4 linked regions of the Neurospora crassa OR74A genome follow. The protein of the gene in region 2 interacts with the protein of the main gene of each other region in a biochemical or structural test. Links are inferred from orthologs where the notes say so. Each region holds a gene or a part of one and is shown on either strand. Other genes may lie near its edges. The genes, in order: NCU03137, mdk-1, gul-1 and NCU04637.

The links.
Region 1: of the proteins of mdk-1 (region 2) and NCU03137, one has a biochemical effect on the other in vitro, tested with the Saccharomyces cerevisiae proteins (9 studies listed by BioGRID). The link is inferred for Neurospora crassa OR74A from reciprocal best matches to the Saccharomyces cerevisiae genes PHO85 and PAH1.
Region 3: of the proteins of mdk-1 (region 2) and gul-1, one has a biochemical effect on the other in vitro, tested with the Saccharomyces cerevisiae proteins (2 studies listed by BioGRID). The link is inferred for Neurospora crassa OR74A from reciprocal best matches to the Saccharomyces cerevisiae genes PHO85 and SSD1.
Region 4: of the proteins of mdk-1 (region 2) and NCU04637, one has a biochemical effect on the other in vitro, tested with the Saccharomyces cerevisiae proteins (2 studies listed by BioGRID). The link is inferred for Neurospora crassa OR74A from reciprocal best matches to the Saccharomyces cerevisiae genes PHO85 and RVS167.

Annotation. Positions count from the first base shown.
Region 1 is NC_026501.1:4,686,209-4,692,337, reverse strand, and holds the start of NCU03137 (nuclear elongation and deformation protein 1), read right to left. Parts: upstream 3,550-6,129; 5' UTR 2,894-3,549; coding exon 2,440-2,893; intron 2,375-2,439; coding exon 297-2,374; 3' UTR 1-296. UniProt on the Saccharomyces cerevisiae protein: Mg(2+)-dependent phosphatidate (PA) phosphatase which catalyzes the dephosphorylation of PA to yield diacylglycerol. Required for de novo lipid synthesis and formation of lipid droplets.
Region 2 is NC_026503.1:4,279,691-4,285,546, forward strand, and holds mdk-1 (cyclin-dependent protein kinase), read left to right. Parts: upstream 1-2,311; 5' UTR 2,312-2,773; coding exon 2,774-2,842; intron 2,843-2,931; coding exon 2,932-3,876; 3' UTR 3,877-5,087; downstream 5,088-5,856. Other genes in the region: NCU07579 (hypothetical protein), read left to right, coding at 5,515-5,794.
Region 3 is NC_026505.1:3,210,812-3,216,747, forward strand, and holds the start of gul-1 (cell wall biogenesis protein phosphatase Ssd1), read right to left. Parts: upstream 4,072-5,936; 5' UTR 3,446-4,071; coding exon 3,322-3,445; intron 3,098-3,321; coding exon 1-3,097. UniProt on the Saccharomyces cerevisiae protein: Can suppress the lethality due to deletion of SIT4, and partially the defects due to BCY1 disruption. Is implicated in the control of the cell cycle G1 phase.
Region 4 is NC_026505.1:1,374,661-1,380,466, reverse strand, and holds NCU04637 (BAR adaptor protein RVS167), read left to right. Parts: upstream 1-2,127; 5' UTR 2,128-2,843; coding exon 2,844-2,879; intron 2,880-3,037; coding exon 3,038-4,379; intron 4,380-4,456; coding exon 4,457-4,482; 3' UTR 4,483-5,227; downstream 5,228-5,806. Other genes in the region: NCU04636 (cysteine desulfurase), read right to left, coding at 1-164, 353-1,176, 1,249-1,519. UniProt on the Saccharomyces cerevisiae protein: Component of a cytoskeletal structure that is required for the formation of endocytic vesicles at the plasma membrane level.

The sequences.
Region 1 (6,129 bases), on a different chromosome or scaffold from region 2:
GCATAACTAGAAGAAAAAAAAGGTAGACAATTCTAGGAGTAGTGATGTAATAAACTGGCACCGTAAATGTCAAGTACATTGTATTTCCCTTCCAGTTGCGCCGCGCTATGCAATGTGAGGAAATCGCCCAAGGATCACCTCTCTTCCATCCCTTTTCCTCCTCCTCCTCCTCCTCCTCCTCCGCCTTTCCTCGGGTGTGTGTTATTCTATCGCTGTTAGAAGTTTCAAATAGCATCTTCCCTCTTCATGGTAACGATATTTGATCACAAACCCTCTTCTCGTGTTACATACTTCTTCTAGCTCACTTCCTTCTCAACAGTAAGATCCTTAATCCCAGTGATAATTTCAGCATCTGCATCTGGCTCAATCACCTTGGGCGAAACCGATGAGCTTGAGCTGTCCCTGGACTGCTGCTCAACCGGCACTTGCAATTGAGCTTCAGTTGGTTCCCTCTTCCTCTCCTGCTCCTTCATTGCCTGTTCGAGATCGGCAGCAGCACGTCTGAGCCCTTCCTCTTCCTCGGCGCCGAGTCCTCCGTCTTCCTCCTCTTCGTTGTCCACCTCTTCTTCTTCAACTATTTTTTTTCCCTCGGCGTCCTCGTCGTCAGTGATTACTCCATCCGCATCTGCATCCACATACACGCTGTCCAGCATAGCCGAATCAACCATATGCTCGGGCGCAGCCTCCTCATCATATTCTCCCTCCTCTTCCTCACCATCCTCTCCATCATCCTCGCCATCATCCTCTGCATCATAATCCCCATCCTCACTTGCCACGCTTCCTTCCTCGTAATCATCCACCGAGTTTCTCGAGATGTAGCTGTCCACAAGACCGTCGCCAACTTCTTCCTCGTCATCCTCCTCGTACTCACTTTCATGATCATCGACAACAGCCGGAGCAGATGTCTTTCGGCCACCGCTGCGCTCGTCCTCGGTGTCACTGGCAGAGAACTCGTCAAGATCCAAAGGCTGGTCTCGCCAATACTTGAAATCCGTATAATCCTCGCCACCGCCTTTGATGAGCGTGGTGACAGGTGGGAAGTAATGGTCGACAACCTCGGTCATGTTGACGTAACTCAGCTTGAGTTTGTTGAGACTCAGCAAATCGAGTGACACCTCTGCATTAGAGTTGATGGTGAAGATACGGTTACGGGGCACGTCGACCGTGCGATACGAGATTTGGTCCGTGAAACGGTTGCCGAACCCGGCGTAAAACGGTGTGCGATCGGGCCCGTAGAGGTTGCGGATGTCACGAAGCGTGGACATCTTGAAGATATGTGGTTTGCGGAGATAGATCTCGCGACGGAGAGCCGCCATGGTTCGGTCGGGTGAGAGAATGGTAGGTCCGCGTGGGAGACGGTACCCGTCTTGAACGATACCTGCGAGGTAAGTTCGTGTAGTGTCGGCCTGGCCGACAGACCGACTCGTCAGATACATTATGTTGTACCCGTTGGCTACAATATCAGTATACAGCTTGGCTACACCAGCATGCGTCCAGTCGCGCCCGATCATGTTCAGCACGTGGCCAAGCGCATCAGACTTTGTAATGGTTCCATCAATATCCGAGATGACCACGGGTACCTCGTGCTTCCATAAAAACATGTAAGCCTGGCAGGTAGCTTTGTTCACGGTGAAGCTCATTGAGTTCTCGCCGGGCTTCAGATTCAAGGCCTTCAACTGGTCGCTAGTCAACCTCAAGGTCTTTGCGTAGTTCCGATTGGGATCGCCCGCTGCCGAACTGCCGGGAGAGCTTGGGGGTGTCTGCAGGGTCATCTGGCCGACATCAGAGTCAGCTCTCCTGTGGATCGGTAGAGTCGTGGCGGCTGAGGTATCGCTAGCATCGCTCTGATACCCAGGGTCAGAAGCCGCATCAATGTTGCCCATGTGAGATGCAGAGCGTAGGGGGTCCATCGTCCTCTTCATGGCGGCCTCCTTCGCCTCGATGCTGCTGTAGATCCAAAGGTTTCCATGCTCGTCAACGCCAAAAAGTGCGCCGATGTCGTAGTTGCCATCAAGCTCCTCCGTGAGAATCTTGCGCGCAAGGATCTCAGCCCGGAAGGCGTCTTCCTCATTGTTTTTGAACGCAGTCATATCTAACATGAGGTCTCCGGTCTCGCTGATGTGGTTAGGGATATTGGCGGCGGCGAGCTCTCGGGAGAGGTTCATTGCCCTTTGAAGAGCTTCGGGTGCTGTAAGCGGCGGCGGGCTGCGGGATCTTTCGGTGTGGCTATCGCCTTCTTCTGAACCTTCGTGGGTGCTGCCATCGCTTGGCATTCTTCGCGCTGACTGCCGCAGAAGGCCATCGCTATGTGGGCGAAACGGAGACCATTCACCCTTGATAGGATCTGGTGATACGGAACGAGGTGTGAGCAACCCTTATAACCCATGCTTGTCAGTATATGTCGATCATGGCGGCGTGGAAGCTGGACACAGCGCTTACCGTCTCGTGCTAGTAGAGCAGTGGGAGGAGGCCTGTGGTTGAAGCTCGAAGAACGGGTTTTGCCTTCTACCGAGTTCAGATCGAGTGATTCAGGTTCTTGTAGAGGCCCTGACTGGTCGGCATTGAGCGGGGGGCTAGAGGCGGGCGACACGATGGGCGACGTCTGCATGCTCTGAGGGATGGTGTCTGTAGTTTCGAAGACGAAGAAGGCCTCGCCTCCCTCGCCCAGCTTCATGGCATAGTCCTGCTTGACGCCATTGACCCTGAATTCGACCTTTTTTTCGGATGGGCGCAACAGCGAGAACTTGCCAAAACGCACGTGAAAGGGAGAGCATGCAAGGGTGCCATCTTCCTGCTCAACGACTATCACGTCGATGGCACCGCTGAGGGTCGCAGGGTTGATGGAGTTCCAGGCGGTAGAGACAGAGTCGCCGAGACTCCTGACGTACTGCATGGTAGGCAATCGCAACTCGTTCTGTCGTCGAGAAGGATGTGTCCCTCTTGATGGTCAAAGGGGAAAGGGAGGGGGTATTTGTTGGTTATGTCGGTATATGGGGGGGCAGTCAAATGGCAAGGCTACATGCGGTCTGGACGGTTATGTAATGTCGACCGCAATCTCGATTCTCGACTTCGAGTAGGCGACCGGTAGGCGACCGGTAGGGGTTCTCTAGTGTGTTGGGCGAGGTCGGGAAGGCCGGATGAACGCCCGATATGCGTAGGGAGATATTAGGCTCTGACCACCCGGCCTCAATTGCTCTGTCGTCTCGAATGGATGGTTACTCAACGTGGTGTGCGTGAGTGAATCCGACTCGTTCACTTCCCGTCTGGTGGTGCGAGTATGCCGGGAGAAAAGTATTGAGGAATGCGCCGTGTTGGGGGACTTTGCCCAGTGAATGCGGATCTGATGACGAACGTCTGCCGCGGTTCAAGCAGTGAAAGACAAGGAAGGTAGCAACCCAAGTGGGATGCTGGGCTTGGGGAGTGGATTGATTATGCGCAGTACGGTAAAACACTGTGTGAAAAGTCCGAAGGGGGCGTTCAAACCCTTTCTTCAGAATCATATGCTTCGAACTAAGGAACCAAAATCTGCACGACAATTGAAGAGCTCGTGTTGTAGAAACTTTGTGTTTTTTTGGGGCATGGCGAACGGATCGCGATCCGCCGAGTAGAACTAAAAGGGAAGGAACTAAGGAACCGGCTAGGTTGTTCGTTGTGCAGTCCAACCTATACTGGTACGAAAGTTAGCTCGAGACCTCGGGTCAACCTCCCCGTGGGTTTTCAAGCGGCGATTATGCTTCTTCCGAGCTAAATTACACCGTATTGAATTTTATGGATGCCGTTTGGATCTATATCCAGCCATTCATTTAGTCCTTAACAGGTTGGAGACATCTCGGAAGACATTTCATTCAGTGTTCTACGAGTGAGTGCCTAGGTACCAAGTTAACAACAAACCAGTAGAACTACCAGACAATACGTAGGTAGGTATCCACCTCTACATACCCGGTGAGGCGGAATGAGAAACGGGATCATCCCCAACGCCCAACCTTCCAGAATCACGAGGGCGGTTCCCTTCTCAACAATCAGATCTAATTCTGTCTTGATGAGTTCGGCCTCTTGTCAGGGCAGCAGACAGGCACAAGACTGCATTTGCACCGGCTGTTCCCCATCATCAACCCACGCGCACTTTACCGACTTGGTGCAAGTCTCTAGCGATACCCTGTAAGACGGCAATATAGTCATTTACCAGCCTGGTACCTCGGCGGTCTGCAACGAGCTAACACGGCTGGCCAATCCAACCGCACAAATTGGTGTCATAAGCGGTCACGGGGATGTTTGTTATGCTGGACTACCAGGTACCCTTCAAGTTCCCCTGATGTCCTGCTGACTGACACTGACACCGCGAGTTTGAAAATGGAACTTTTTCGTATTCTCACCTTGTCAGTCTCGTTTGACTGACGTTTATTAAGTGATCCAACGAGCCGTCAACAAGCGGTTGTCGTTGTGAAAAAAAAAAGAAGCAGTCGCTCGCTGAGTGTCCATTGTCTGTTCCCGGCGGTATTGCAGCCGTCTACTCTGAAGGTAGCTGGGTTGAGATATGCCGTGAACGTCAACTCTCGCTGTGTATCCCGGGTTTCTATCGGCTTACGGGTACACCTGGTGACACCAAACTGTGCCCAAGGGGCGAGACAAGATACATACACTATCTACAAAGGTGCGAGGCCTCTGGGGATACCACGGCTTATCCAGCGCCTTTTTTCTTCATCCCGCATACAGTACAAGGCAGAGCCTTACCCCAGCTGCCTGGAAGACGTGTAGTACCGTAAGGGGTTATGGACGGCAATCTTAGCCTGAGCGTATTGCCCGGTGCTGAGGATCAGTACGTCCTCAGTCCTTGGGGGTCGGTGGTGATATTTGTTGGGAAATCCGGAGGCGTAACGGATCGATTTGATGAGTAGAGCCCTATCCCCAAGCAAAAATGGTGTGATGCTTTATAGTTAGTTGCCTTCCAGCTAAAGGCAGGCTACAACATATGTATAAAGTAAGTAAGCATAGTGTTTTGAGAGGCACCTTTCACGGCCAGATCATCTTCTCAATGGGATTTAGTGAAGATGGCAGGCTGATCCGGAGATCCGTCCGAGGCAACGGACTTTGTATTTCAGTCTTGTGCAAGTCGCCACCCGGCTTACATAGTACTTGCAGTGACGGGAACGGTAGGAAATCTCAGGATAGGTAAACAAGAGTAAACTATCAGCAGACTCTCTTGGGCCTTTGAAAGAACGAGAATATTATAGGTTAGATTGCGCAGCCTCTTACAAGCATTCCACTCAAGCTGCTATGTATTCTCAAACTTGGGGGAAAGCCTACATACCGGTATCAGAGGCCAAGACAGTTCTTTCCCGATCGCATGCTTAGCAGTTCTGGCCCAGGACGGGAGCTACCTTTTTGCGCCCATATGGAACCCTCTGGGATATCACCCGAGCGTTTGCAAATTGAACAAAGACCCCTTCAATGATCTTGGTTTCACTTCCTGATCCAGACCCGATTGTTCGCGACTAACAAAAAGTGGTACCATGACAGAACGGCACGGCGGTGTTCTTGTCCACCATCTAAAGCGAAAAGAGGACTGTCGTACACGTAACATCCCGCGAGCATTCGGGTAAATCCTTCTCTCCCGCTTCCACACACCAGTCCTTCTTCAAGCGAGCAACATCGACTGGGCAAGCTGGGGAATAATAGCGGGGAAGATGAGCAGGCGGCTGGCGGGGTTGGGATAGGCGCATCATCGCGAACGTCCATTCCATCGTGGGCTTTCGGTTGCGGGGATCCTGGAGGGCGGGGGAGCATCAAAAACTGTGAAGGATCGGAGTTAGGAGGCAAGTAGAAATGCTGGCGATTGTCTGGAGTTACCGTCCCTTGATCTGATCGGCTTTGAAGTCAAGTGGAAGTGCGCCGCATGGCCTGATGTCTATGTACGATGTTTCAGCATGTACCAGCCCATGGACTGTTAAGAGTTCCCTCAGATACTAATGTATTGCACTAACAGACACTTATCCACTTCCCCAGAGACAATGCAGGGGACGTCAGGATGTGGATACCCACTGCAAGAGAGAAAATCCTTTTTGCAGGGAAAGCACAGCCGGACAGCCTGCTCTGCTGCTGCTGCTGCTGCTGCCACCGTCCGCCCGCCGA
Region 2 (5,856 bases):
AATTCCATTAATTTAAAAGGCAACCGCAATAATAGCTTCAATACTATTCCAACTAAGCGTAGTAGGATTTAGGAACTCATTATTAACAAAATTCTATATTAAAAAAACAAGAATTTTAAAATAAAATATATTATAAAGGAATCTCAATCTATAATAGAATTCGGTCTTAAATTATTTTACCTTTTTAACCCTCCTAAGGCCGTAAGTATCCTACTCTATAAGAGGCTAAAAGTACCGAAAAATTAAATTAACAAAATTTATTTTAATATAGAAGAATACAGAGATAGAGATTATCTACTATTTACAATCGTATACGCTCTATACCTCTAATTATACTAATATAATCTTACAAATATATAATATTGTTTTCTAATTACTATAAATAAAGAAAAATTTATTACTAAACTACATTTAATCTATATTAAATAGGTCGAGAAATAATCTATTATACAAATAATAAATACCGGCGAATTTACCCTCATTTTTATTAATAGCAGGCGTTTAAAGAATATAACTTTTAGGTATACAATATTATTTAACCCTAAGGAAGCAATAAGCAGGAAGAGAGCCCTATTCGCTAATAAATAGAAAAAGGGACTTTAATTTCTCTATAACCAAATAATTTATAGTAGGGCAAAATAATTATAACGTTTATATAAGAGCTAGAATAATCCAATACGGTTGGAAGGGAATAGTAGGCCGAAATTAATTAGGTCGGAATAGGCCTTAAACATTAGGACTACCTATTAGTAAATAAATTATAAAGTTACATATTACATCCTATCGGCCAATACTTAAACCCTAAACTATATCTAAATAATTATAATTATTATATATAATAATAAGAGTAAGGTTAGAAACAATATATTTAAAATTAGTTTAAAAGTATTAATATAAATTATAAGATAAATAATCGACAGTACTAACTATTATAAAAATTATAAGAGTTTTAATTATTACTATAATCCTAATATAAAATATATAAATACTAAAAGTAGATAAGGTATTTTAAATACGCCTAGCAACGCCGTTAATATATAAATATAAATCTATAATTTACAAAAAGAAATCGGATTTGCCAAGGGCGACAATATATATAATAATAATTAAAATTATATATATTATAAGCGAAATATAATTACTATAACGAACTTATAGTCCCTACGTTTTCTTATAAGCGCAGGTATACTATATTAAACCTGTAAGAAACAAATATAATTTAGGCGTATATTTAAGTAAATTATTAATATATTATTTAATAATTAATATAATCTATTATATATTATACAAATCTATAATATTATATAATTAGTCCCCCTATAGAACGGAAGAAGCACTAAACTTTATAAAAAATAAGAATAGGTTAATATATTTAAGGAAAAATATTAATTCCCAATAAAAGCTCTTTATATTATATAAATTACTTTTATTACTAAAATATATTGTAATACTATTATAATAGAAAATTTCGTATATATAATTATTATATAGCGTATTAACGAATTACCTAATATAGGATTCCGATAGCTAGTTATTACTTCGAATTATCTTAACCCAACTACAAATAAAAGGTTTTAATATCCCCCTAGAATATAAATATACTTAATACTTTTAAATAAAATAAGCGAAGTATTAATCCTAATTAGTAACGCTTAAATTACTTTAATCCTATAGTAGTAGGCTATATTTAATTAGGTTCAGGAAGGTTGGAGGGCCGCGGTAAAGGGTCGGAATTAAAACCCCGGGGTTTAAATACATACAAATCGAATATATTATTATAATTAGAATATTCGGGAGAATACTAAATTTAAACAAGAGGAAGGGTAAATTAAATACAAATATAAAAAGGTTATTAAATAAAATTAGAACGGCCGTTTCCTAGAACGAATAGTAAATTATATCGAATAAATTAAGCGTCGTAGGTCTATATACGTTACTCTAATCGGAATTATAGTAAATAAAAACAAATAAATTACGTATTACGACTTTAGGGGTTTCGCTCTAATTAGAATTACGGAGAATAAAAACAAATATATTACGTATTACGACTTTAGGGGTTTCGTTCTAGTAAAAGTAAATAATTAGAATTAAGGTGTATCTTAACTCTAACTAGAGCAGAGTTCAATTGCAATAGTTGGGCCCCACAGCGGCTGACGGCCGAAATACTCAAAATTGGCTCAGACCTGCTACCGCAGAAACGGGTGGGGTGGGGTGGTTTTGGAGGTTAGTGGGTCTGACTGAGACTACTGCTGTACCTGAGGTCCCCACTGCCCTTCCTGGCGCGCGCCTGACCCAACTGAACCCAAACAACCAACCCAGGGCAACCTTATTTCCCCTTCCATGTCCACGTTTGACCCTTCCACCATCCGTCCTCATTCCGACATCCACGCCCGACCCTTCCACCGCCTGCGAACATCTACCGTACACCATCTCCCATAAAGTCTGAACCGCCTCTCCCATACCGCCTACGATCGCCACTCCCATCTTCACACTGTTCTAGACTTGTTAGATTTATCGGCGCAGAGACTGCTTCAGTGCATCTCTGCTCTCCATCACGGCTTCTCACGGGCGACAGCTGCCTGACCAACAAGACCCAACAGGCGGCGAATCCCCCAATCCCCTGCGCAAGACGGTCACTATTGGCTCTGTACTTTTCAACCGCGCCCATACGACCCAGCGACAACCTTCGCCACATCCTCATTATCTAGTCCAACAGTCCTCCGTTTCTTCAACCACAGCCCAGTCGGATCTATCTTCGGCACTCAGAGAAGCCATGGACGGCAGGAAACACCCAAGTTCTTTCCAGCAGCTTGAAAAGCTGGGAGAGGGTACTTATGCTACTGTAAGAGATCTCTCCTTGGCCCAGAACTGTCCCTCGGTGAACAGGGAGAAGTATTTGTAGGGTGCAAATGGCTGACACTACGTCCTCAGGTCTTCAAAGGCCGCAACCGACAGACGGGCGAGCTTGTAGCTCTCAAGGAGATTCACCTTGACTCGGAAGAGGGGACACCGAGCACGGCAATCCGCGAGATCTCGCTCATGAAAGAACTGAAGCACGAGAACATTGTTGCTCTACACGATGTTATTCACACCGAGAACAAGCTTATGTTGGTGTTTGAGTACATGGATGGCGATCTTAAAAAGTTTATGGACACCAACGGCGAGAGGGGAGCCCTCAAGCCACATGTCATCAAGTCCTTCATGCATCAGTTGCTCAAGGGTATTGACTTCTGCCACAAGAACAGGGTCCTACATCGAGACCTGAAGCCGCAGAACCTCCTTATCAACAGCAAGGGCGCTCTGAAGCTGGGTGATTTCGGTTTGGCGAGAGCATTCGGTATTCCAGTCAACACCTTTTCGAATGAGGTCGTCACTCTTTGGTATCGAGCTCCCGACGTGCTTCTTGGAAGTAGAACCTACAACACCAGCATCGACATTTGGTCCGCGGGATGTATCATGGCTGAGATGTTCACCGGCAGGCCTTTGTTTCCCGGCACCACTAACGAGGATCAGATTGTTCGCATTTTTAGGATAATGGGCACGCCGACGGAACGTACATGGCCTGGCCTCACCTCGTTCCCCGAGTACAAGCCTAACTGGCAAATGTATGCGACACAGAGCCTGTCATCCATCTTACCTCAGATTGACCGCGACGGCATCGACTTGCTTCAGCGGATGCTACAGTTGCGGCCCGAATTGCGAATCTCGGCTCACGATGCGCTTCAACACCACTGGTTCAACGACCTGGTCCACCAACAGCATCATCACCAAGCGCAGCAGTCAATGATGCAACAACCGCCGATGATGCAGCAACAGCCAATGATGCAGCAACATAGAGGCTACGGACAGCCGCAACCCAACTACGAGGGCTACTAGACAGAGTACCTTCCAAAAACCGGAAGGCAGACACCGCCGGTTTTGGGGTTTCCTCCACCAGTTTTGTGGCATCGACCGATGCCAGTAGTGTCAGGATCTCCTCCACCAGGATTCAAGAAGATTTGGGAGCAACTGATGCCAGTAAGAGAGGGCTACTACACCGAAGAGCAGTTTCTAGGAGAGCGAACAATGCCAGGGTATCCTCCACCAGGGAGATATCCTCAACCGATACCCGGACATCCTCCAGCATGGAGAAATTATCCATCAATACCCGGACATCCTCCAGCATGGAAATATTCTCAACCAATGCCCGGGCATCCTCTACGTGGGGAACATCCGCAACCGATGTCATGGTATCCTTCAAACCAACAGGTTCAAATGGGGCATTTATCGAGAGAAAATGGGTTGGTTAACCGTGGCATGGGTTCGACTACAGATCTGTCAATGGCGTGGAAAGGAAATTTCAAGAGTGGCAATTCTAAATTGGACATGTCACGGCGGTCACTGCCCGTGGACCCCAGTCTCAACCCGTTTCAACATGATAATGGACAGCGAAATATAATGGTGCCACACAGGCCCCCAATACAAACAGGTGTAATGGGTGATGGACACCCAAATGCGATGCCGCCGCGATTTCAGTTGCTTCAGTCATCTTTCATGCCTCCGGTCCCCCCTCCTCCACCGGCCTTATCGAGGTTACCGGCGTCACATGAGCCTCGACATAAACAGATTGAATTTCCACGAAGTTTCCAATATTAATTCATGATGTGAATGGTCCCGGACCTAACGCTGGAAAGAGAAGTTCATCTGTTTTCAGTTTGAGAAGCTGCCGCCTGGTTCTCGATCATTCCGGACAAGAACATACGCCGATGTTGCACGTTCCTCAAGCTTTACTCGCGACTGATCACACACGGCGGAAGAGCACAATAAATAAGTAGATGGTAATCTTTGTTATCATGTTTACTTGGGATGGTCATTATCTACAAAACGGGGGCATAGCTGGAGCCTTGAACGAAGATGACGGGAACAGGGTAGCGCACGCCAGAGAAAGGCTTTTGTGCCGTACTTATGCATTTGCCTTTCCTTTAATTAGTAGTTACGATTAGCAGCGAAAGTTTCCATATATGTTGAATTAAAGCGAACATTGGTGATAGTCCTCATTATTCTCATTATTCCCCTATCTGTTTACTAGAGAGTTTAGGGTGTTCTCTCAGTTGGGTTGAATTGTATATTTGCAATTCGAGATAGCACCGTTATACATGAGTTGTGAGAACTGTTGGTGATATGATGTTCGGCTATTATTACGCGGTATATGTACATTGTTTAAACAAGCGAGCTTTTGTCCCAAGCAAAACGGCCTTTCGCGATTGTTGACATTGCTCCTCCTATAGACACAATGACCTTTTTTTTTTTTTTTTTCATGTTCCTTCCAGGTTGTTGGCATGATGCATTAGGTAGGTTCCCCAAAACTCCACGCTGCCCGTTGTTGAAGGTGGAACACCCCGCAAGAGAGTGGGCGGGAGCATCTGGGCTACTACGTATCGATAAGCCTTGATCCCTGGCCGGGCCCAGAGGTGCCTGGACGCCTGGACCTGCTCCACCTGATTTGTTGTAGCCGCAGTGTAACCAGCGCCGGACATGGCGCACTGCGACGGACTTGGACGCTACCAAAGAGTCGGTACTGTTTGGCACTGCCCGAGCTTGATCCATGCCCTGCAACAACCAACCGTACAACAACCCATTCCACTTTCCAACGACAACTCGTTCCTGTGTCTCCTGGCCATCGACAACGCAACTTGTCGCGACAACCAACCGACCAGCCGTCTCTCCATCGACAACCTCGGGCTTTCTACTGCATGCTCTAAACCGCCTTCCCGGGAAACAGTCGCCGCGATGGCTGCCGTGGAGTCACGCAAAGGTATGGCACACCTTCGGACGCGCCCGCAATGATGGCGAAGACGATGCCTTTCCACAGAACGA
Region 3 (5,936 bases), on a different chromosome or scaffold from region 2:
AGAACAGCCTCAAGCTGACGATGAACAATGATGTCGGCGTAGCGCCTGGTGGGGTACGTGAAATGAGTGTAGAGGGGTAAGTTCAAGGCATAGTGAGGCCAAAGCAGACTGGCAGTCTTGCCCGCAATGAAGTACTTGGCGCGCTGCATAGACTTGACGAGGAGGGTCTCCATACCCTTTCTGATGTCAGAGTCGTCAATCTTGAACAAGCTATTCTGTAGGGTACCACTGCTAGTAGCGTCAATGTCGTAGCCCAAAGCAGTCATACGGTCAATGATAGTTTGTAGGCGGCGGGAGTTAGGAGCAGACTGCCTGCGCAGAAGGGCTTTCTCCGGGAGTCCCTGCGCCAGACGTTGGGCAACATGGGTGTTGGCCTTGTGCATAAGCTCTTCGACAAGTTCAGTGGCCTGGCTAGACTCGAAAATGTTGTGCTTAGGCGGGATGTTCTCATCATCAAGTTGCTGGAGGAGACGGAGAGGCGCAATGGGTTCGCCACCGGCGCCCAAGCGAGCTTCACGGAACTTCTGGGCGACAGCGTTGAGAATCTGGATGTCCAGGGCCTTCACAGATGGATGGGAGAATCCGCTGCTACCGGAAATGGCTTCATCGATCTCGCTGAGCGACACCTTCCCGCCGCTCTTGACGATACCCTTTCCAATCCAGGTGTCGCCTTCGGCCACCGCGCCAGTCTGGGGGTTGACGTGGAACACAACGCTAAAAGTCAAGCGATCCTGTTCAGGAGTGAGGGTGCAAAGCTCGCTCGACAGCTTGGGGGGGAGAAGGGCACAGAAGCGGTTGACAAGATGGACCGCAGTACCGCGCTTCTTAGCTTCACGGTCAACGAGTGAGCCGGGCTTGACGAAGTGGGCGACATCGGGAACGTGAATACCAATTTCGATCTTGCCGTCAGGCAACTGCTTGAAATGAACACCGTTGCCAAGCTCGACAGAGCTATCTAATTCAACAGTGAACACATTCTCGCCACGGAAGTCACGGCGAGCGGCAAGAGCAGCTTGATCCTCACTTTCAAGCGACCAGTCTTGCTGGCTGACGTTGCGCAAAACAGCCTCAGCAAACTCGTCGGACGCGAAGTTGTTGTCACGAAGGAGGGCATCGGTCTCAACCTTAAGATCACCCATTTTGCCCAGCTTCTCAACGAGGGTACCAAACGGATGCAGAGAAGTGATGGGCCAGCGCTTGATACAAGCCACGAAGATCTGGTCCGCATAGTCCTGGTGCTTCTCCACGAAGTCCTTGGGTGCTTGCTCGGTAGGAATGGCAATCAGAGGAACACGCTTGTCCGTGGGCTTGAACCAAACAATCTTGGGCTTCTCGTGGGAGCGCGAGTCTTGTTGGCGGCCATTGCCACCGTCTCTCGCAGCGCGTTCAGCTTCCTGCTTCTCCTTCGTAGCCTGACTGCTCGGGCGGAGCAGACCAAGGGTACCAGAAAACATTTGGCCGGGAACACGCTCAATAACAGCAACAATGTGACCAGCAAAGAGAGGCTGCTGCTCATCATTGATCTCCTCTTCCTCAACCAAAAGAAGACTTTGACCTTCAACTTCCACGTCGTCGTTCTTCTTTTGGGTAGGACGCTGTCTGAGGCTGCCACGGCGGCGGAGTCCCCCCTCAGCGTTGCCATTGTCGTCACCAGTATTTTGGCCTCCACTAATGGAGCCAGAACGAGTGTCGGTAATATCCTTGCGCTTCTTCTTTTCTTCCTTCTCGCGCTTCTGCGCCCACACTTCACCAACATCCAACAGCTCGACCGCAACGAGATCACCTTCGAGAGCACGGTTGCGATCCTTGCTGCCGCAGATGAAGATATCGGCGGGAAGCAGGCCATCCTGCGTCGAGACGTACGCATCGCTTCTGTTCTTCTTGTTCACGCGAAGAATACCAGAAACAAGCTGGCCGTTACCCAAGAGGGCAGGAAGAGTAGCTTGGGGAAGGTAAGGAGTGAAAAGCGTCTTGCGCTGCTGTTGCTGGCTTTGCTGACCAGGAGCAGCCATTTGAGGAGCGTGCTGGCTGGCGGCAAGACCGGTAAGTGGCTGACCATTCATCTGAGCAAGCTGAAGAGCCTGAAGCTGGTTGAGCTGCATCGGATTGAGTTGTTGGCCAGGGAAAACCTGGGGCATCATCATCTGACCGGGGAACTGAACCAGCTGAGGCTGTCCAGGATACTGGAAGGATCCAATCGAAGAGATGGACTGGCTCACCGAGCCGCGGCTGCGGTGACCGGGCTGGAAGCCCTGGCTCTGAGGAAGGGCAGCGGTCTGGTCCTGAGCCTGGTTCTGGTTCTGGTTCTGGTTCTGGTTCCTCCAGTTGCCGTCGAAGTTGCGGGAACCAGTGCGGGCATGGCCGCTACCAGGAGCGCGGCGGGAAAAGTCGCTGCCTTGGCCCACGGAGTCGGTAGAGAAATGGCCTCCGCGGCCACCACGGCCATTGGCACCAACAGCCATACTCTGGCTCCTGCCATGGCCGCCACGACCGCCACGGAACGACGATCCCTGAGCTATCTGGCCCTCCGCCGGAGCAGGAGTGGTGCTCGGGGTGGTCTTGGCATCATCCTCAGACTTCTCGGAGGAGCCAGGGGCAGGAGCAGCAGGGAACTGGAAGGTAGACGTCGTGCGCTTCTGTTGGGCGATCTCGGCGGCCTTCTTGGCATCAGCCAAGGCCAAGGAATGTCTTCTCTGATGACCGCCGCCGGATCCACCCCGACCACCACGACCGCCGGTGCTGTTCTCTCGGGCGTGACCCTGGGTGGGATCTTGGAAGTTGCCGAACGTCGAACCAGAGGCGCCGGCAGAGGGAGCAGGCGGCGGGCCCCCCATGCCCATGTTTGGAATGGCCGACTGATTACGGCGATGTGAAAGCGGTTGTGTAGGAGGAGCTAGGGGCGGCTGCTGCTGCAGCTGGACCGGGAACTGGAAGCCCGCCTGAGGCGCCAAACCGGCAATGGGCTGGAAGTTGGTGAATCCGCCAGGGCCCAGGGGTTGCGTGGCCGGAAGCATGCCGAGGTTGGCATATTGAGCTGTAATCTGCTGTTGCTGCTGCTGAAGGAGTTCGATCTGCTGCTGGATGGCAAGCTGTTCCACTGCACCGAAAAAAAGATCCAGTCAGTACGCCAGCGCATTGAAGAGGGGGATGAGGGGTTACAGTCAGGACACAAGACGGGAACGCGACGGGGTCAGGGGTACGATCATTGGCTTTTGAAGCTTTTCGCCACGAACAAGAACGGACCAGTGCAAGAGCGGTAGAGGGGCGCCGCGATAGTACACGATGGCAATGGCGATGACAATAGCAAAACTCAAAACATACTGTTCGTGTTTGAAAACATACTCATCAACGGGGTCAGCTCCGACGGGCTTCTTCGATGGGCGATATGGAGCCGTCGGCCGGCGGGGCCAGAGACGCCTCCTTGAGGCTGCTGTTGCTGATCCATGATGCAGGTTGTTGGGACGGACAGGTGCAGATGACTCGGGTGATCCAGGCAGAAAACGTGCACGTCGAGTGCGAATGCAAGGCGAAGTCGGCGTTGGACCTAAAGCGTGTGAAGAAGTAGTAAAGTAGAGCACGAGACGAGTCGAGTCGAGTCGAGTCGAATCGAATCGAGGCGTGGTCGACCGAACAGAGACGAGGGGGAAGGTTATTGAGCTGGGTTTATCTTTTTTGTGTGGCCGGATTGCCGTTGCGATGCATCAGATGCGATGGGAGTTGCGGTATGTTTGGTTGCGGTGCGGAGACGTCGCCCCAAAGGACAGTTTTGTTTCGCAGTTAAAGCGGATTGGATGAAAGAAATCAAGTCCAAAGAGGTTATAATGAGAGATTGAAAAGTTGCTACGAGGGAGTGTAGAGAGAAGGGAGGGAGGTGTCCGGCTTTGCTAGTTGACGTTGAAGCTAGAGGGAAGCCTGAAGCCGATGCGGATTGAGGTTCGTGAGGAGGGAAGGGGAAAGGGAGAGTGCAGGAGGAGGAGGAGTCGGAGGACGGGAGAAAGAGGTTCGGTGCTATAGGAAGTCAGGAGGACTGGGCCTTGGACCTGAGAGGAGGAGGAGGAGGAGGAGCAGAGCACTTTCAGCGCCGCAGCGGCAGTCAGCGAGAGGAACCCGAAAGGTCCATCCTTCGGCGGGCATCCTGGGCTGGCTAGGTTGTACCTAGAGTATCTACCTAGAGGTACCTACCTCACCTAGACTACATGCTAGTGACGAACTGATGCGTGAGAGGGAAACGACGGGACAGGATGGTGCCCGCCCGCCTGGCAGTCCGTCCTGCTGAGGTGAGTGAGGTCCGTCCCTCCTTGGAGGCGCATGCTGCAGGTGTACACGGTGCGGCGGCGGAGCATGGAAGGTCCGGGTTCACGGCAGGCATCTCTTACGGTTTCAGTTGCACCTATCAGCGGCGGTGCTGGGCAGTTGGCTGAAGTGGTGGGCTACCGTTAGTAGCGCCAGGATAGGTGCAAGCACGCAGGGTGTGAGGGTGGTGCACCGGATACCCCATGTGCGCGACACACCGTGCTCCTCTTCCCTTCCACTTACAACCCAACTACTACTGAATGAAGTAACCTTTGAGCCCCTTTTATAAAACCGTCTTTTCTTCCTGGCCTTTGTTCAAAAGGAAATCTGCACTCATGACATCCACTGCATACCTACTTCTGGAGTTTCTGTTCAATAGCCAAGAGCTTCGAAGAGTCGAGGACCGCGACAGGAGCATCCGGGGGAAGCTACACTACCTACACCAATCAACGATGCCAGTGGGGAAACGGTTCCTCAGCAGACTCGGGAAAATCACAAATGGCAGAAGTGGACACTCCCGCTAATCGTCTTTACCCCATACCTCATTTAGTTTAGATTCAGGATATCTCAAACATGGCGTATGCTGGGCGATGCTTCCCTGTCACGAATGTGTCTGCACAGGGACAGGGACGACAAACTCGAGATGTACTCGAAGATACGTGCTCGAACGTTTCTCTCGGGGAAACTCAACGGTGGTCGGAAAGAGGATCGCCAACCCATATCATGATGTGCCCGGCATCACCTGGGGAATATGGACTGGCCTTGCCGGCGTAACAGGGAAGACGTCAATGGTGATGGTGATACCCTAAACCCTGGATCGACGCGAGTACACCGCATACTGCAAGACGACAGCCGTGTCTCCCGTGTCAGAAGCTCCGGCAGGCTTTGGGGGTCTGTGTCTTTGGATGACGGTACGATTCGTAAAAGAGGTTGAAGAGAAGAGAGACACGGATACCTGCGGGAACTAATGGAGTTGCTATCTGCCATATACAAAGACCACAAGCTGACCTTCTTGACGATATTTGCTGTCCACAGCACCAATGGATCAAAGTAATACCTATGCAGTAACTTGCGATGAAAAGATGAATCCTTGATTCATCACACATCCTGCATTAAAGTTCGTTTGAGATGTCAATAGCACGTTGCCTTAGCTTAGCTTCGTAAGTACATACAATGGCGACTTCAAAGAGCTGTACCTCCGAAGCCCTTTCTCTTGACTGTTCCCATCACTTTGTAATTTATACGGACGCCCGAGGACCTGGAGATATTTCAGCGTAACACAGCAGGAGCAGACATCTAAATTTGGGTTATAGATGCCAAAGCCGCTTTGTGATATCTACACAGGTAGGTAGGTTTTTGTTGCCAACAATACATCAAGGCTAGATTTCAGGTTGGTTTATAGAAAGGTGCCACTTCCATCCGTTCTCCCCCACCAAAAGCGGCTGCAAGGACCACTGCACCTAACCACACACAGTGTGTAAAGATACCAAGACAGACGGATGCCGCCATACTAAAACCGCACCCATGGAGTGGACTTAGTGCTATTGGACTCGCGACGCGCGCAAAGTACAACTCCAATTGATAGTGTCCATAGTACCCTTCCGCAACTGTCAAGCCGAACACAACACCGGACGATCACCTTA
Region 4 (5,806 bases), on a different chromosome or scaffold from region 2:
TCCTTCAAGGCCATCAAGAGGGACTCACCCTCGACATAGGCGAAAGAAACGTTCACGCAGCCGGGGTAGAAGTGGTTGGGATCACCGTTCTGGCTGGTGTGCTCCATGGAGAGCAGACCGTTGAGAAGACGGTCGGAAAGGTGCTTGATGCGCTTGGAGTCGTACTGTTGTAACAGTTAGCGCCCATCCTTGAACGAGAGATGCATTAAATGTGGGATATGGAAGAATCATGATCAGAGAAGTTGCTGTCTATCAACAAGGAGTCCTTGTCACGGGACTTCAGAAAGCCATGCATGTGTAAAGCGACTCATCATAAAAGGGGCAAAGGAAGACAAAAGAGACTGTAACATACCGGCATTTCTTCCTTGGCGATGCGGCACGCCTCTCCGAAGCCGACAACGAGCGGAGGAGCGAGCGTGCCGCTGCGAAGACCTCTCTCCTGACCACCACCGCTGATAATGGGGTCCAGTCTGACTCTTGGCCGACGACGGACGTAGCATGCACCAATGCCCTTGGGGCCGTAAATCTTGTGGGAGGAGATGGACATCAAGTCAATGTTCATGGCGTTAACGTCAACGGGGATCTTGCCAACAGCCTGGGCAGCGTCGGTGTGGAAGAAGATCTTCTTGGACCGGCAAAGCTTGCCGATTTCCTCGAGGGGTTGGATGACACCAATTTCGTTGTTGACAGCCATGATACTGACGATGGCGGTGTCGGGACGGATGGCAGCCTCCAGCTCCGCCATGTCGATCAGGCCGCTGCTCTTCACTGGGAGATAGGTCACTTCGAAACCCTCGTCCTGGAGATGCCTGCAGCTGTCGAGGACACACTTGTGTTCTGTCTGGCTGGTGATGATGTGCTTCTTCTTGCCGGACCGGCCAAAGAACCTAGCGACGCCCTTGATACTCATGTTGTTGCTTTCGGTGGCACCGCTGGTGAAGATGATTTCCTTGGGGTCAGCGCCAATCAGATCAGCAATGTGTTTCCTCGCCTCTTCAACGGCCTTGTCAGTCTCCCAGCCGTAGGCATGTGTCCTCGAGTGGGGGTTGCCATAGACGTTGGTGAAGTAGGGCATCATGGCATCGAGCACTCTGGGGTCGATGGGGGTTGTGGCCTGCATATCCAGGTAGATGGGACGCTGTCCCTCATCCATCACGGTAGCATTGCTGAGAACATCTAGTTGAGTCAGCAACGAGGACGACTGCGCAATATGTCTCCGAAGAGGTGGGAGGTGATGATGATGCTTACCAGCCATGGGGCTGACGTGTTGGCTCGAGCCATTTTGCGCGCTTATAGTGAGGCCCTGCTTCTCCATCTCCCTGTGATCCAGCTTGATAGCATGCTCGGCCTGCACGTCGGCGTTGTTCCTCTTGGTCTCGGTCACATAGCTCCTGGAAGCAGAAGCAGTCTTGACAGCAGCCGCAGTAGTCGCCCGCGACAGCACACGCGCGCTGCGGAGAGGAGCGGCCGCGGCCAAGCGCGATGCCTGTCGCAAGACGGACGGCGCAATGGTGGACATGGTAAAAGGAAGAAGAAAGAAGGAGAGGAAAAGAGAATATGGTGGTGAGGGTGATGGCGGATGAGGGAGAAAAAGTTCGTTTTGTAACCAAACCTACAAAAACGGATGGAGGCAGCGGGCGGGGCGGCTCAAAACACACTCAGAAATTCAGATGGAGCTGCCGCCTCCCGCTCTTCGGCGGTCGGAGTGGAATTTCCGCCATACAGAAAAGAACAAATCGAAACAAACGGCATCCGCACGCGGACTTGGCCTCGGAGGGGTCGGTGATAAAGGAATGTGCCAATGAGGGGCGACAACCAACAAGGTTTGGCACTTTGATTGGTCATTCTGCCATCGGATGGCCCCACCTGTTTCTTTCTCGGACATCGGACAAGCGCGTATGTACGTACGGCGAAAATGACGCTGCTCCAAAATGTTAGAGAATGGGCCGCCGGGCATGACGGAAACTGAACGCTCGATGTGCACCGCGGCGACTGACTTGACAAATACAGTGCGGAATGTCCACTTGTGAAACGGACTCCGCGGACGCATCTGATCCATCATTGCACAGAAAGGAAGAGCACTGACCCGGGGCAGGCATCCATCTGTTCTCTCAATCGGCATGTCCACTGGGATGAAAGCTACACTACAGCGGGCCCCAGACCCAGTCGGTCTACCCCGTCGTTCCAATTCGTTCCTTTCCGGGGTCTCATCGACCAAAAGCAGAACAACCGATGACGGTACCTATTTACCTCCTCGGTAGTATTCTGTTTCCATTCGCATTGGATGTCTGCGTTGGACTATAACTTGAACCATCAGTGACATGCCATATAACCGCCGACAACCTACTTGAATTCCATTTACACTGCTAAACTATTTAGTAGCATCTTACCTCTAGGACAGCTACCTCTAGCTACTTTACCTCCTACCGTTGAAGACCGAATCCTCCCCGAGGAAGTTTGTCGGACCTCGAACGGAACTGCTGACAAGGGTCCGACCGACGGGATTCAAGAACAAACCGAAATCACAAGACGCCTAGACAAAAAGACTTTTCACACTACATCTTGGAACGAGGTCGCTGTGTGCGGCGTGTCCAACATTCAGCAAATAGCAGCGCCACGCAAACCGTCGCAAGCTTCGCTCAGCCAAGACTTCGTCCACCAGCCAAACGACCTGCACCGCCCCCCTGCCCACCCCCAGCGTCATCACCATCGTATCCGGATCCGACTTGAAGAGGGCACTCGACCACCGATTGCCTTCAACCTCTCCGAACAGCAACCCGCTTTGCGCATCTCCATACAAACACCGAATACACATCAGACATCATACGGCTTCGTAGCAGAATATGAGCTTCAGGGGCTTCCAAAAAAGCGTGGTCCGCGTAGGTTCTGCCCCGCATACCTAGTTGATCTCACCTCCCCTAGTTTCGGTTACAGCGTCATCATCACTTCCGCCCTTCCCGTCGAGTCCCCCGTCTGTGGCAGAAATAGCGCCGAATCACTCGGGTTGGCAAACAGGCACTAACACGACAGAAACCAGGCACCACAACAATTCAAGCAAAAGTTTAACCTCGGCGAGCATACCAAAGACCCTGTCTACATCGACTCGGAGCGCAGATTCCAGGAGCTCGAAACCGAGACCAAACGCCTTCACGATGAAAGCAAAAAGTACTTTGAGGCCATCAATGGCATGCTGCAACACCAAATCGAGTTCTCAAAGGCAATGACCGAAATCTACAAGCCCATCAGCGGCCGCATGTCCGATCCCGATTCGCTCGTTCCCCATGGCAACTATGAGGGTATTGCCGCCTGCGAGGAGTACGAGGCCGTTGTCAAGGACCTGCAGGAAACACTGGCGCCAGAGTTGGAAATGATTGAGGCTAGGGTTATTCGGCCAGCGAACGAGCTCCTCGATGTGATCAAGGTCATTCGCAAAACGGCCGTGAAGCGCGAGCACAAGAAGCTGGACTACGACAGACACCGCGCCACCCTCAAGAAGCTCCAGGACAAGAAAGACCGGTCGGCAAAGGACGAGAAGGCCATGTGGAAGGCTGAGAACGAAGTTGAGCAGGCCACGCAAGAGTACAATTACTTCAACGATCTGCTTAAGGACGAGCTACCCAAGCTGTTTGCCCTCGAACGCCAGTTCATTCAGCCGCTTTTCCAGTCCTTCTACTACATGCAGCTCAACATCTTCTACACCTTGCACGAGAAGATGCAGCACTGCGACATTGGCTACTTCGACCTGACCCTGGACATTGAGGAGGCCTTTTACGCGAAGCGAGGTGACGTCCAGGAGCGGGCTGAGGCTCTCTCCATTGTCAAGTTCAAGACCACGGGTATGAAGCGACCGCCCAAGTACCAACGTCCAGGCGCTCTCGAAGGAAACAAGCCAGCAGGCCTACTTACAGCTGGCTCCTCCACGACCACTTCCACCGGTCCGCCTGAGGCGGCTCCCTCAGTCACAGCCCCACGCCCCTGGGAACAGCAACAACAAGCTCCTGCCGTCACAGCACCGCGACCTTGGGAAACCCAGGCGGAAACAGTAGAAGCGCATGCGCCGCCACCGTATTCGGTGAAGCCGAGCACGCTACATGCTACGCCCGCCTCCTACGCCGCTCCAGTTGCCAGCCCGAAACCCTCGTCGTTGTCCATGGCGGCGGCTGCAAAGGCCAAGCCCCCACCGCCGAAGCCCAAGCCCAAGGCCCTCATGGCGGCGGCACCCAAAGTAGAGACCGTCACAGCGCTTTACGACTACTCGGCGCAGGCGGAGGGCGATCTGAGCTTCCGTGCCGGTGATGTGATTGAGATAGTAACAAGGACTGCGAACGAGAATGAGTGGTGGATTGGAAAGTTGCATGGAAAGCAGGGTCAATTCCCAGGTACGTACTGTACTATTTCTTAGGGTGCTTGCTTTGTTGCGAGCTGGATATGTTCTGACACAATGGTCTTTTGCTAGGAAACTATGTCCAGTTAAACAGCTAGAGGATACAAGGCTACTTGTAAATGTAGTTATCAAAGAGTTGCTTTCAGCACACTTCACTTCTCAGCACGACTTCAACCTATACCCCTTTTTTGTGGACCCGTTCATGGTCGAGTTATTCATTTGCAACCACAACACGGATTCTTTCTAGTTCGTCTACATCGTACCAGGCCGTGACGTTCTGTAGCAGGGCCTTGGTGATCCTATACGGATGCAATGATATGCGGCAGGTGACTCTGTTGAGAATAGTCAGGCAGGAGGAAACTCCGTCGCGAAGGAGGACCTGCGAGGAGCGTGGAGCGAGAGGGTCCCGGGTGTTTGCGTCTAGGGAAATGGCGGGTGTATTGTTTTGGAGCGAAGGAAGCAACGGAGTGAAAAGGTCACAGTGCATTGGGTCAAACCTGGAAGTTTTGATTAGATGCGTTTTGCCATGATCGCCGTCGTGGTTTGTTCCCTTTAGGTTAGGTACTTGCCCGCGCGTCAAGCTTCCTCAGGTGAAGCTAATTTCTAATTTTGTTAACGCAACGACCACGCAGCTCAGCTTGAATCTAGTGTCACCAACAACCGCTTGCCTTGTCAAAACTACCTGGCTCGGCTTCACCTCCTGGCTCGACTCCAAGGATTCAGGTTTTTTTTTGGGAGGAAAGAAAGATGTGTATCATATCTGCTACTCATCTACAGGTAGGTATCACTGAAAGCCATGGCAAGTGTACTGGAGGGTCCTTATTGGAAATACCGATGTTGAACGATGGCCTCCAGCTAAGATGCAATGCTTCGGTGCCCTGGATAGCGAGGTCCTCTGGTTTAGCTTCAAGTGAGAGACATGCACCTGCCTTGTTGTACAAGACTAAGGCTAACAGAAGCTTCCAATAATGCGCCAAGCAACCCAGCTGTATGCTCCTCCCTCCAATTCTCCATGAGTCCCTCCGTGGCTGTGAAGCAAGACAGGGAGTCACAATCTCCAGTATGTCGGGCAAACCCAGATCTATGGGCTTTTAATTCCCCTCTTCTCACTTGCACACAAACTCTTCTTCCTCTTCTCACAAACACCACCACTACCACCAAGCGCAGCGTAACTCGCAGACTCCAGGCAATCTTTTGGCCGCCATTTTTTGGGTATCGTCTCTCTATTTGTCTTGCGGTTCGCAGTATTATGTCATCTCTTCTCCCCTGGCCTCTTTCTTCGTGTTGATACACTTCAAGCGTTTTTATTTGGAACGAAGGAAATCTTGCACTAAAAGAAAGAAAACACCCCCGGCTACCAATCCCCTTCCGCAAGACCACTCTCGACAGCCTGTCTGAATCAGTCCCATCAATTTGCGTTGG